2 linked regions of the Rattus norvegicus genome follow. The protein of the gene in region 2 binds, or shares a complex with, the protein of the main gene of each other region. Links are inferred from orthologs where the notes say so. Each region holds a gene or a part of one and is shown on either strand. Other genes may lie near its edges.

Region 1 (6,503 bases), on a different chromosome or scaffold from region 2:
TCTAAAATTGATAAAAAAAAATATAATAACAATAATAATAGCAACTACTACTAAAAAAGTCTGTTAAGTATTTACAACACATTTTAATGGCTAAAATTTAACTACATTAAAAAAGAATTTCAAAACAGGTGGCAGTTTTGTATACATTATAAATATACTCTAAAATCTAAATAAATCAGTTGTCTATGATAGCAAGAAATAATTCCCAAGGTTTTTCAGAGTATCTTTGCCATAATTTTCCTGACTCTGTCTGATGAATGTAAACTACGATACCCAGGTCCAGAGTTCAACTCTTCATACTATCACATCTTCCTTTATCCTTAATATTTAAAAATGCTGCACTTAAGTATGTCTTTATTATCATCAGATGTATGTTGTAGATAAAAATAAACCCAAGATTTAAAAAGCATACACGAAAGTGCCTGGGTCTCTGAAGATTCTACACCATCTGTAACAGTACTAAAGCACGTTCAAAAAACCATTCAATAGGCAGAAATCTAGGACTGGGGCCTCTATAGATCACTACGCCTACAGAGACAAAACCAGATTCTACAGTACTGGAGGAGAAACTTATTATAGGTTTGTGGGACAAAAGAAAACCCTTAAACTGCCTGTGATTGCCCCTTGGACAGTCCTGTGTTCATTGTGGTCCTGAAAAGAACTACCTATTCCATGACTTTACAACGTAACTTTACAAAGTTACTTAATGAGGAAACGCAGTTCCCCGGCTCCATCGGTTTTGCTCTCGACCATGTTTATAATGTAAAGTAGAGAGAGTGGTCTGCTCTCCTGCTTTGCATGATACCAATCTCCAAGGGAAAATGTAAAGCTTCCTTTTACATTTTTAAAAAAAAAAACATTTAGTAATGAGTTACCTTGCTTCCTTTCCATGATCAGCAATAACTCTATCATCACGACCAAGGTTTCTAGAAGAAATGCGACCCAATTCCATTGCTATTTCCTCATTCAATCCTTCTAGGCCAAGAGACTGAAAGCGGGCACGATGACGGGAATAACCTGCCAACTGCTCATCTGCACCAATCCCAGTGAGAATCACCTACAGAAGAGGAAAAAGAGCCAGAGACATGACAAGAGGATAAAGAAAACAAGTTCTATTTTCTCAGGCTAAAGGAGGAAAACTACAAGTCAGAAAATAGTAAAACAAATACACAGTACGATAAAGTGTAACTGTAATACAGTGTATTTATAAACCTTAAATATCAAAATGAGGTCTCAGAAATTATGAGCAGCAGTCCTTTGGAACATACCTTTGCACTGCTCTTGTAAGACTGCACAGCATCCTCGGTCACCAACCAACCGATTCCTCTAGATGCAAACCAGACAGCACAGCCAATACTATCATCCAGAACTGTGTCCGATGGCTGAACTAAGTGACATATTCGAGCTCTTCTTAGTTTTTGTAATTCTTCAAGAGAAACATTAATTTCCACAAAATTCCAAGTTCGAGAAGGGTTGACAGACTGTAGTTCCTTCAGTCCTGCTTTTCCTGTGACTCGATCTGGCACCTCGGCGTCATGTGGACCCTGAGGCACAGCAGTGCTCGGAGAGGACTCTTCAGGAGGGATCTCACAGTGGTTTTGCTGGTTTCTTTCTACGTTAGGAATAGGCAGCCCTGCCTTTTGTTTAGGTAAAAAAGCCACATTCAGAAGGTCAATTGGCTCGTCTAAAGGAATGTGACGATCAGCAAGGGCTGCGATCACCATAGAATCAACACCTCCGGAAAACAGGATCGCAATGTTTGCTTTCTTACCACAAGTTTTTAAAACGTCCTTTGATGCCAAGTTTTCTTCCCTAGCTAAACATAAGGTGCGTCTCTTGACTGCAACACTGAGGACGTCAATGAACTGCTGAACTATTCTTTGTGTGTGTTCATCTCTAAGAAGTATCTCAAGTGTCTCTCTTGACCCTGGAACGCTGGAACTGTTTCTACATTGGGTCTCCAAGGGTACCTCAGGCAGCGTCTTGTTTAAGGGGACAATGGGTTTTGAGAGGTACAAGTTGGCTTTATTTATTACCACTGATACAAACTCTGGCAATTCTGCTGGAGTCTGAGTCAGCTCATTAGCACATTCTTCAGCAACATTCTCCTTAGAAATAGATTTCCAAGGATATAATTTTAAGATCACACATCTGGAAACAGCAGCAGAATTGAGATCAATTTGGAAGATTCCAGATGCTGGAACTTCTTGCCACTGGTCTGCTCCTCCGGATATCTGGGCACCAACTGAAGAGAGGCAGAAACTCTTGCCCAGGTTACTAAACTGCCAAAGCAAGCTACGGCGGCCAAACACGTCCCTGCCAAACCACAAGCAATGGCTGGAGGCCTGGTAATATATAAACGACCACGGGCCGTGCACTTTAGAGAAGAGCGACAGTATTTCAGACTCATTCTTACAGGCAGAAAGGCTACTGAACATGACCTGGGTATCATTATCTTCTGCTTCAACCTGTACTCCATTAAAAACTTCTCCATTCCATAAGAACACATTGCCACATTCATCTTCCACAGGTTGGGCAGTCAAAACACCTCTTAAATGAAGAACATGACCAGAAAATAAACACTGATAGTTAACAGCAGATTTTAATAACTGTCTGCTGCTACTAGGGCCCCGCCGTCTGAGATTATACAGCAAATCCTCTTTTAAATCTTTACTGAAGTGCTCAACAGAGAAACTCACAGAACAGCAAATGCCACACATGGTTATGTGAAGTCAGGCTGACTGTGTCTTGACTTTGGTTGTCTCTGAGTTTTCTACTTCTTGGTAATCTTTTCTTAGTTCGTCTAATTTATCTGTTGAGAGTGAGAAAAAATATTGAAGTGAAAGTTCAAAAATATTTACCTATTATTTCATGAACAAAACAGGCTACTTCTCAAGATTAAACCATATGAGATGCACTGTACAAAAGCCAGCCATAATTCACAATGCTTTAGTGACAGACAATGCTGATATTTTGGTAATAGTTTCTTTCCACTGGGTACACATTTTATCTAATCACTTGGCTAAACACTTTACATATATAATTTAAATACTTCAAGATCTTAGAGCAGTGGTTCTTAACCTTCCTAATGCTGCGACCCTTTAATCAGTTCCTCATGTCGTGGTGACCCCAACCAAATTTCGCAGATACTTCGTAACTGTAATTTTACTACTGTTATGAATTGTAATATAAATATCTAACATGCAGGATATCTGATTTGTGACCCCCAAAAGGGTACTGACCTACGGGTTGAGAACTGCTGCTTTAGAGGCTCAAAGTATTACCCCTGAAAGTCACAAAATTGTATGATTTTCATATTTCTCTCAACCTCTTAAAATATATATGACTACTTTACTAATAACTAAACTCATAATTTTTATTCCTTGAGAATTTCATACTGATTTATGATATATTTAGATCATAGCCACTTTCTACTTCTCATTCCATATCTCCTTCTACTGGGGTATGGGCTATCTACCAGGAGCGACATTGGCAGTGGATGGCAGTTAGTTCAGAGACCACAACTGGGGCAGTGTGGATCATCAGTGACTGTGGAGTACTCAACTCTGAACTGGACATTTGTATCACACCCGAAGCTCATGAATAAAAGGGAACAGAAAGACCATCATAACAAGAGATTGGGAGAATGGCTGCAAGACAGTGTTTTCCAGACATGATAGGATTGTTATGAACATGAACTCTCTGCAGCCATGGCTTCCTGCCCAAGATCAAGACAATCCAAATCCCAGCCCATCCATATTGGAGGAGTCTTTTTAAAACTGTAGAACATCTGTCCGGTGACTGTGGTGCAACGCATGCCTTTAATCTCAGCACTTGAGAGGCAGAGGCAGGCAAATCTCTGAGTTCAAGACCAACCTGATCCACAGAGTGAGGTCCAGAACAGCCAAGGCTACACAGAGAAACCCTATCTTGAAGGATACTCCACCTGCCACGCTGCCAAAACACAACGCACTGTATACATCTCTGGAAGACTAACTGGAAACAGACCACTACCCTAAATCCACACACACATTCATTCAAACAGGGTTTAACTGAGGCACCATTATGAATCCCCACAAAAAGCTTACAAAAGGTTTTCTGTAGCATTCCATATAAGTCTGAAAACAAAACTAAAAAGACCACTACTCACTTTTGCTTTCAGACAACATTTTTGTTCGTTCTTCAAGAAAGAATATGTTGCTGTTCTGTTGCTGCTTGTATACTTTCTGCAAAAGAAATGTACAATTATCAGAATGTGACTTGCAGAACTGAACCCGTACCACAGGTCCCTGCACCCAAATCCCGTGGAGGACAGAGCTGGACCCTCAGAAGTGCAGACACCCCTGAGAACTCAGAGTTAACAAAAACTTTCTGCCTGCATTCCTGACCCAAGAGGAAATCGCCTAGTGCCATCTGTGCCCCTTGGGTACAGGGACCTAGGAGCAGCCAGGGGCAGGACCCTTCAGATTTCTGCCTGTGCAAAGAGCTGAAAGCCAGACTCCAGGAGTGCCTATACACCTGAGAGCAAAGCTCTCTGTTCCCAGATCCAGCTGAAAGAAACAGTTCTACAGGAGTGCTGACACACAGATCAACAGGAGGGCCAAACCAGTAAGACAAACCAACACCAGAGACAACCTGATAGTGAGAGGCAAGCACAGGAACCTAAGCAACAGAAACCAAGATGACTTGGCATCATCAGAGCCCATTTCTCCTACCAAAGCAAATACTGGATGTCCAAACACATTCGAAAAACAAGATTTGAATTTAAAAATCACATTTTATGATGACAGAGGACTTTAAAAAGTACATATATAACTCCCTTAAAGAAATACAGGACAACACAAGTAAACAAATAGAAGCCCTTAAAGAGGAAACACAAAAATTCCTTGTAGAATTACAGGAAGACACAATCAAACAAGTGGAAGAAATGGACAAAACCATCCAGGATTTTAAAAAAATGGAAATAGAAACAATAAAGAAAGCACAAAGGAAGACAACCCTGGAGAAGAAAACCTAAGGAAGAGATCAGGAGTCATAGATGCAAGCATCACCAACAGAACACAAGAGAATCTCAGGGGCAGAAGATACCATAGAAAGCATCGACACAACCATCAAAGATAACGTAAAATGCAAAAAATCTTTTAACCCAAAACAGGAAATCCAGGACACAATAAGACCAAACTTAAGAATATTAGGTACAGAAGAGAATGAAGACTCCCAACTTAAAGGGCCAATAAATATCTTCAATAAAATTATAGAAGAAAACGTCCCTAACATAATGAAAGAGATGCTCATAAATATACAAGAAACGTATAGAACACCAAAAAGATTGGCCCACAAGAGAAATTCCACCTGACATATAACAGTCAAAACACCAGATGCACAAAACAAAGAAGGGATTTTAAAAGCTGTAAGGGGAAAAGGTCAAGTAACATATAAAGGTAGAACTGTGAGAATTACACCAGACTTCTCACCAGAGACCATGAAAGCCAGAAGATCCTGGGCAGATGTCGTACAGACCCTAAGAGAACACAGATTGCATGTCCAGCAAAACTCTTAATTAACATAGATGGAGAAACCAAGATATTCCATGACAAAACCAAGTTTACACAATATCTTTCTACAAATCCAGCCCTACAAAGATAATAGATGGAAAACTCCAATACAAGGAGGGAAACTACTCCCTAGAAAAAACAAGAAAGTTATTTCCTTGCAATGACACCAAAAGAAGAGAGGCACACAAACAGAATTCCAACTCTAACAACAACAACAAAATAACAGGAAGCAAAATCACTATTCCTTAATATATCGTAACACCAATGGACTCAATCCCCAATAAAAAGACTTAGACTAACAGACTGGATACCTAAACAGGACCCAATTTTGCTGCATACAGGAAACACATCTTAGAGACAAAGACAAACACTACCTGAGAGTAAAAGTCTGGAAAACAACTTTCCAAGTAAATGGTCTAAGAAACAAGCTGGAGTAGTCATTCTAATATCGAATAAAATCCACTTTCAACCAAAAGTTATCAAAAAATTAAGAACACTTCATATTCATCAAGGGAAAAATCTACCAAGATGAATTCTCAATCCTAAATATCTATGCTCCGAATACGTACATTCATTAAAAAAACAAACAAACAAACACCTTACTAAAGCTCAAAGCACACACTGTACCTCACACAATAATAGCAGGAGATTTCAACACCCCACTCTCATCAATGGACCGATCATGGAAGCAAAAATTAAACAGAGACATAGACAGATTAACAGAAGTTATGAACCAAATGGACTTGACAGATATCAATAGAACACTTCATCCTAAAACAAAAGAGTATACCTTCCTCTCAGCACCTTGCTGTACCTTCTCTAAAACTGACCATATAATTGGTCACAAAACAGGCCTCAACATACACAAGAAGACAGAAATAATCCCATGCATCCTATCAGATCACCATGGACTAAGGATGGCCTTCAATAACAACAAAAACGACGGAA
Region 2 (6,689 bases):
ACAGAATGATTGTATTTTACATTATAAGGTCATGAGTTTGGAGGGTAAGGGGTATAAAGCAGTGTTTGAGTAGGCTCTGTCCTCTTCGAAACACCTGTTGAACTTTGACAAGTGACAGGAATTTTCTTGTCTTTTTGAGATTCACACTGGCCTCAAATATGCTATTTAGTTGAGGATGAACTTGAACTCCTTTTTTCTTTTTTTTTTTTTTTTTTTTTTTTTTTCCCGGAGCTGGGGACTGAACCCAGGGCCTTGCGGTTGCTAGGCAAGCGCTCTACCACTGAGCTAAATCCCCAACCCCGAACTTGAACTCCTAATCCTGCCTCTCTACCTCTCCCCCAAATACAGGGGATCTCTTACAGGCGTGTACATCACAATCTACTTTGCAGCAGGGCTTTTCAGTTGTTTAGTTCATTATTATATGTGTGTACATAATGTTTATGTGTCTCGATTTGGGGGAGCTAAAGAGATGGCTCAGCAGCACTTGTGGCTCTGCACCTACATGGAAACCCATAACTATCACTGTCTCTAACTCCAGAGGATCCAATGCTCTGACCCCCACAGTCCAAGGTCACCAGGCACGCATGTGGGTGGCTGGCTGGCACATGCGCACACATGCACACGCACACATGCACGCGCACACGCGCACATGCACGCGCACACGCGCGCGCACTCACTCCTCCAAGTGCTGTGGTACACCTGGGAGATCAAAGCAGGAAGAATGCCACAAGCCCTAGACTAGCATGGTCTACATAGCAAGTTCCAGGCTAGCCAGGGCTACAGAGGGAGATCCTCTCTCAGATAAAACAGCAGCAAACCAATAAACAATAAATAGAAATAGGATAAACCGAAAATAAAACAAGGGCCTAGTAGAAAGTATGACCTGCTCCTATCTTCCTTGTGAAAGTCACATCAGGCTTGAATTTGTATCAGTGACAAACACTTAAATTGGGAAGAAAAGTTCCACAGGTAAAGAACCAAAGAACCAGAGTTTGAGAACTTGGGGGGTGGGGGAGGTATGGTATTGAGGCATGAACTGCCTGGCAATGGAATGCTAGGGAACTTAAATTCTGAGGCTTGTTATCCAAGTGCTGGGGAAGAGAGGGTCAATGGACTCTCTGGCCAGCCATCCTAGCCTGGCTGGTGAGTTCTAGGCCACATGAAAAAAACTTGTGTCAAAGAACAACAAGGCTGACTGTGTCTTCTTCAAGTCTTGCAATACAGCTCTTTTAAATCTTCCAGCATTTCCAAGGCCGGGCAGTTCATGGCTCAAGGCTTATGAACACATTTCTTCTAACGAAAAAAAAAAATCCTCACATTGACTAACTTTCCTCAGCCTTTAGAATTAAGCTGAAGAATCCTCTAGAAAATAAAAACAAATTAGCATTTAGAAAGATTGTTCAGATCATGTGCATGTATGTATGTGTTTGTGTGAGATGAGGTGCTCAAGTGCAGAAGCCATCTCTCCACCCCTAACTAGCATTTAGTCAACACACTCTGTAGTCTCTGTTTTTTAGTCATGGTGATGGGGGGGGAGGGTGTCGAATGAATTTTCTTGCCTAGTACACTAAATAGTTATGAAATGGGAAGTACATGTTTTCACAGATAGAGGAGGGTAAAAAGTAAGAAGAGAAATCATGTGCAGAAGTTTTTGGTGTAAGGACTGGAGCAATGGCTCGGTGGAAGAACTGTTACTTCTATAGCAGAAGGCCTGGGTTTGGTTCTCAAGACCCACATGGTAGCTAATAAGCAGTTATCAGGGGCTTGGACCCCTCTTCTGGCCTCCAATGGCTCCTGCACAGGTGTGGTACATGCACACACTCAGACATGCAAATATACATAACATATTTTTGAAGTCTCGTTGTTTCATTTTTATTTGCCATTCTGTCTGTCTTGTTTGTTTTTGAGATTGTGTTTCACTCTGTAACCTAGGCTAGCCTGGAACTGAGAGGGTAACCCATTGGGATTATGGGTATGAGCCATCACACTTGGCTGTGTCCAAATTTAAGATAAAGTCTATTTCACTTACCTGTTTCTCTGTGTTAAGCAAAGTATAACACAAGACAGACTCTCAAAAGCTTTACTTTTTTTCTTTCCCACTGTCAAGGTGCCTCTTCCATCCCCAGAATGTCACTTCTCTTTGAATACTTACTTTCCGACTCATAGTAGAACTGTAAACCCCACTTCAACAGACGATGCTCTCCAACAGTATGGGTTTTAAACTATTTCTGCTGATACTTTTTTTTAAAGATGTATTTATTTATTATATATAAGTACACTGTAGCTATCCTCAGACACACCAGAAGGCATCAGATCTCATTACAGATGGTTGGGAGTCACCATGTGGTTTCTGGGATTTGAACCCAGGACCCATGGAAGAGCAGTCAGTGCTCTTAACGGCTGAGCCACCACTCCAGTCCCTATGCTGATACTTTTACCTGCAGTGATTGCTCAACAAGCAACTGACAAATATATGATTAAAATAGCTCTTCAATCCCAACCCTGGACCTCCATACCAGGTGAGAACAGACACCCACCCAGACCCCACACCTCAAGGCTTTCCCATTTAACCCACCAAACTACACCCCTAGCTTCAACTATTTTCATTTCGATTGTGTGTTCTTCTTCTTCTTTTTTTTTTTTTTTTTTGGTTCTTTTTTTCGGAGCTGGGGACCGAACCCAGGGCCTTGCGCTTCCTAGGCAAGCGCTCTACCACTGAGCTAAACTAAATCCCCAACCCCAATTGTGTGTTCTTCTAATATCAATTAAACACTAGTCCCAAGACTAACAAAACATGGTCCCTATACCACAAAGGGCTTTCTGATTAATTCGTCAGATGTATCCCGATGTTATGAAGAGCAGAATCACACCTGCATTAGAAAATGGTTTCTAGCCTCTTCTGAAAACTTAAGTCTCTGCAGAAGGGAGCATAGAGAGTGAGCTGGACCATGTCTCAAAAAACGAAAACAACCCGAGCCAGGAATAGTAGTCCCAGATAATCCCAGTATTTGGGAGGCAGAAACAAGCGAATCTCTGTGAGTTCCAGGCCAGCTTGGTCTACATAGTGAATTCCAGAAAAGCAAGGCTACATAGAGCGACCCAGCCCGACCCTATAGCAACCCTCATCCCCACCCCAAGACAAAACAAAAACAAAACAAAACAAGAAAATAACTAAGCCACAGTCTCCTTAGTCCAAATAGTTACTGAACACTAAACTGGTCAGAGTCTGAGTCACGTGGCTCTGCAGCGTGTTTGTGATGGTGAACACGGTTTTGGAGTCAAAGACTAAATAACCCACTCACTGACTAAGAACAGCCTGGGATTCGTTACTAGATGACACTTCAAACACCATATTCTCTTTAGGGTACCTCGTAGAGGGGGAGACGACGATCCATGTCCTTAGGGACCTGGACAACCCTCCCAGATCCTGCATCTAAGAGCTTTCTCTCTCGACTACCCACCCACACCCCGGGCGTGCCTCTCACCTACCTACCCCACCTACTCACGCCCTAGAAAGGATTGTGATCACCCCCAAAAACGCCCTCTCCCCTGTGCGTGACCACGGAGAACGTGGGAAGGACTAAAGGCCCCTCTGAATCACAAGTCCTTTTCCTTGCACGAACTCGACACCGACCCAGGTGCCTTCTACGCTCGCGGTTCCTCACCTGTTCCGCCGACACCGCCCCCTTCCCCGTGCCACTCCCGCCGCTCTTGCCCACACGACCGCTGCTGTCCGCCATCTTCCCCACCTGCAAGCTTTCCGGCCTGCGCACTCCCACTGCGTCACATCCGCTCTAGTGGTTACCGCCCACTTGCTCCTGCGCTTCTGGCTTCTGGCAGCTCTTCAGATCCGACCCTGCGAATGGTTTTGGCTGTGTCTTCATGTAGGACCTACTCCCCAACCCTGCCTGCTGCGGTGAATTCCACCTGCTATGCTTTAACTTGTGCAACAGAGATTCTTGCCCCGGGGAGAGCCGGGGAAGGACGCGCTAATCAGAGGGCGGGGGCTCGGGTTGGGATCTGATCTTGTACCCATCTACCTACCCACCACGAGAATGGTGGAGATCTAAGGAGGGTGAACTTTCCTTCTGAGATTCTGGTACAAGGGGAAAGATACATGTTGAGTCTATAAAGCTGTCCAGGTGGCACAGCCGAGAAGAGAGAATTGGGGAAACGAGGAAGGTTCCATGAGATGACTTGAACTGCGGAAACGTTTGGCAGAGGAAAAGGGCTTCAGTTTTAATGTGAGATCACTGGAAGTTGAGGTATTAAGGCACCGATCATAGTGTCCTCTTCCATTTTCCCATTTTATGATCTCATAACTACTAGTAGTAAAGTGTTTTCGAAGCCTTGGGGGAGGGGATTACTGGCCAGGTCTGGAAATGGCAGAGAATTCTAGAAACTTACAGCTTGAAGGAGGGTTAGGTGTCCTGATTTTTCACCTTCTTCAGGCTGGGCTTCATCACCAGGCCTCCTCATCAACTCCTGTCCCTTCTGTGTACCGGATACCGATTACCTCAAATCTCAGTACTTTGTACTCAGCCCAGGTAACATATTTTATGTTCTTTGTCTAGCACGTAGTTGCTAAGTCCATGTTTATTAACCGAATAGTGGACCTGCCATCCACCAAACATTTAATGCGTGTACTCCAGTAGCTTAGGGTTATTTAATGCTCTGGAAGAATGAAAACAAGTCGCTAGGGTTGGTGGGACACACCTCTAATCCCAGCACTCGGGAAACAGGCAGGAGGATCAACTAGGAGTTTAAGATCATCCCCGCTACATAGAAAGGTCTGCCTGGGCTACAAAAAGACCCGGTCTCAAAGGGGAGGTAAAATCAGAAAAAAAAAAAGTAAGTTTCCGGCTCCACCCCCACTTGAGCCTCCCAAGTTTCTCCGCGGCACGCGGTAGAAATCCTGAGAAAACTGCCTGTGTCATTCACAGGCCCAGAGCCATGGCAGAGTCCTCATCGACTTCCTGGGAGCTGCCCCTGGTGGCTGTGTGCCAGGTAACATCAACACCAAACAAGCAAGAGAACTTTAAAACGTGTGCTGAGCTGGTTCAAGAGGCTACCAGACTGGGCGCTTGCCTGGCCTTTCTGCCTGAGGCATTTGACTTTATTGCACGAAATCCTGCCGAGACATTACTCCTGTCCGAACCACTGGATGGGGACCTTTTGGGACAATATAGCCAGCTTGCCAGGTACAAGGGTAGGGTGGGGGTGGGGAGGGGTAGAATCCCTGTTGGGCAGTGTTCCTGGATTGCCACATAGAGGGGGTAGAGTTGTCAGTGTCCCTCCCCCTCAGGGAATGTGGAATCTGGCTGTCCTTGGGTGGTTTCCACGAGCGTGGCCAAGACTGGGAGCAGACTCAGAAAATCTACAATTGTCATGTGCTTCTGAACAGCAAGGGTGAGACTTCACAGTCCTTCAGCTTGCCTCTTCCTAGGCTCATCTACCTTCTTCCAACTCAGATCTTCAGCATTTTTCTCAACTGCTTGGCTTTAGGGGTTTTTTTGTTTTGTTTTGAATGCTTCTGTTCTTAGCCTAAAAATTACTCTTTGGGAGAAGAGCTAAGCTGGACTTCCAGTGTCTGTACTGAGCATTTTCTCTTACTTTAGGATCAGTAGTGGCCAGTTACAGGAAGACACATCTATGTGATGTAGAGATCCCAGGTCAGGGGCCTATGAGAGAAAGCAACTATACCATGCCTGGATACGCTCTTGAACCACCTGTCAAGACACCAGCAGGCAAGGTAGGAGTTTGAAAAGAAAATAGGAATATGTTGAAAAAGTTGTAACATCTCCCTTTGGTGTAGGATGATGGAGGTAGTATTCAATGTTACGTTGACCAGGACAGGGAAGATGAGTGGGTTGTTTCTCGTTTCAGGTTGGTCTAGCAATCTGTTATGACATGCGGTTCCCTGAACTTTCTCTGAAATTGGCTCAAGCTGGGGCAGAAATACTTACTTATCCTTCAGCCTTTGGATCTGTTACCGGCCCAGCCCACTGGGAGGTAGGAGAATGCCTCTTCATAACATATAGGCCTCCTTTAATCTTATTTTTAGTAGTGGGGACAGAGTAGCACAAACCTAAACTCTAAGCACTTCAGGGGATAGCCACAGGTTCAAAGCCAGCATAGTGATGCCTCGAGTAAAACAGAAAACAAAATAGAAGCTGGGCAGTGGGGGTGCACACCTTTAATCCCAGCCCTCAGGAGGCAGAAGCAAGTGGATCTGAGTTCAAGACCAGCCTGGTCTACAGAGTAGGTTCCAGGACAGCCAGGGCTACACAGAGAAACCGTCTCAAAACAAAACAAAACAAAACAAAACAAAAGTAACCCACACCACCCAAAATAGTGGTGCATGGTGGTGTGTGCTTTTTATCTCCGCACTGTAAGGCAGAGGCCGGCAGATCTCTGTGGGTCCAGGCCAACCAAGGTTATACAAGGAGACCTTATATAAAAAAATACAAAACACAAACACACCCCTCCCCTTCTACTTGAAGGATTTTCTTCCCTTCCGATCTGGTGAGGAAATTCGTTTCTTAGATAGGTGTGAGTCATGTTATAGTTAGTTACTAATTCTAGTTGATCAATAGTCAATGAGTAGATTGGGCCCACAGTGTCCGCTTCTTGTCACTCGCCTATTAAATGCTGTATGTTCCTGAGTACGCACGTCTCATCCTCAGGTG

What was found. The genes of interacting proteins can lie anywhere in the genome.
Region 1: Pfdn2 (region 2) and Asdurf share a complex: the UniProt entries of both Homo sapiens proteins name them as parts of the PAQosome complex. The link is inferred for Rattus norvegicus from reciprocal best matches to the Homo sapiens genes PFDN2 and ASDURF.

The regions. Positions count from the first base shown.
Region 1 is NC_086027.1:55,624,206-55,630,708, reverse strand, and holds the end of Asdurf (ASNSD1 upstream open reading frame protein), read right to left. Parts: intron 4,227-6,503; coding exon 4,151-4,226; intron 2,813-4,150; coding exon 2,733-2,812; 3' UTR 2,721-2,732; downstream 1-2,720.
Region 2 is NC_086031.1:86,302,889-86,309,577, reverse strand, and holds the start of Pfdn2 (prefoldin subunit 2), read right to left. Parts: upstream 3,751-6,689; 5' UTR 3,741-3,750; coding exon 3,666-3,740; intron 1-3,665. Other genes in the region: Nit1 (deaminated glutathione amidase), read left to right, coding at 3,883-3,884, 4,452-4,547, 4,944-5,201, 5,306-5,409, 5,619-5,752, 5,887-6,012, 6,687-6,689. UniProt on the Homo sapiens protein: Binds specifically to cytosolic chaperonin (c-CPN) and transfers target proteins to it. Binds to nascent polypeptide chain and promotes folding in an environment in which there are many competing pathways for nonnative proteins.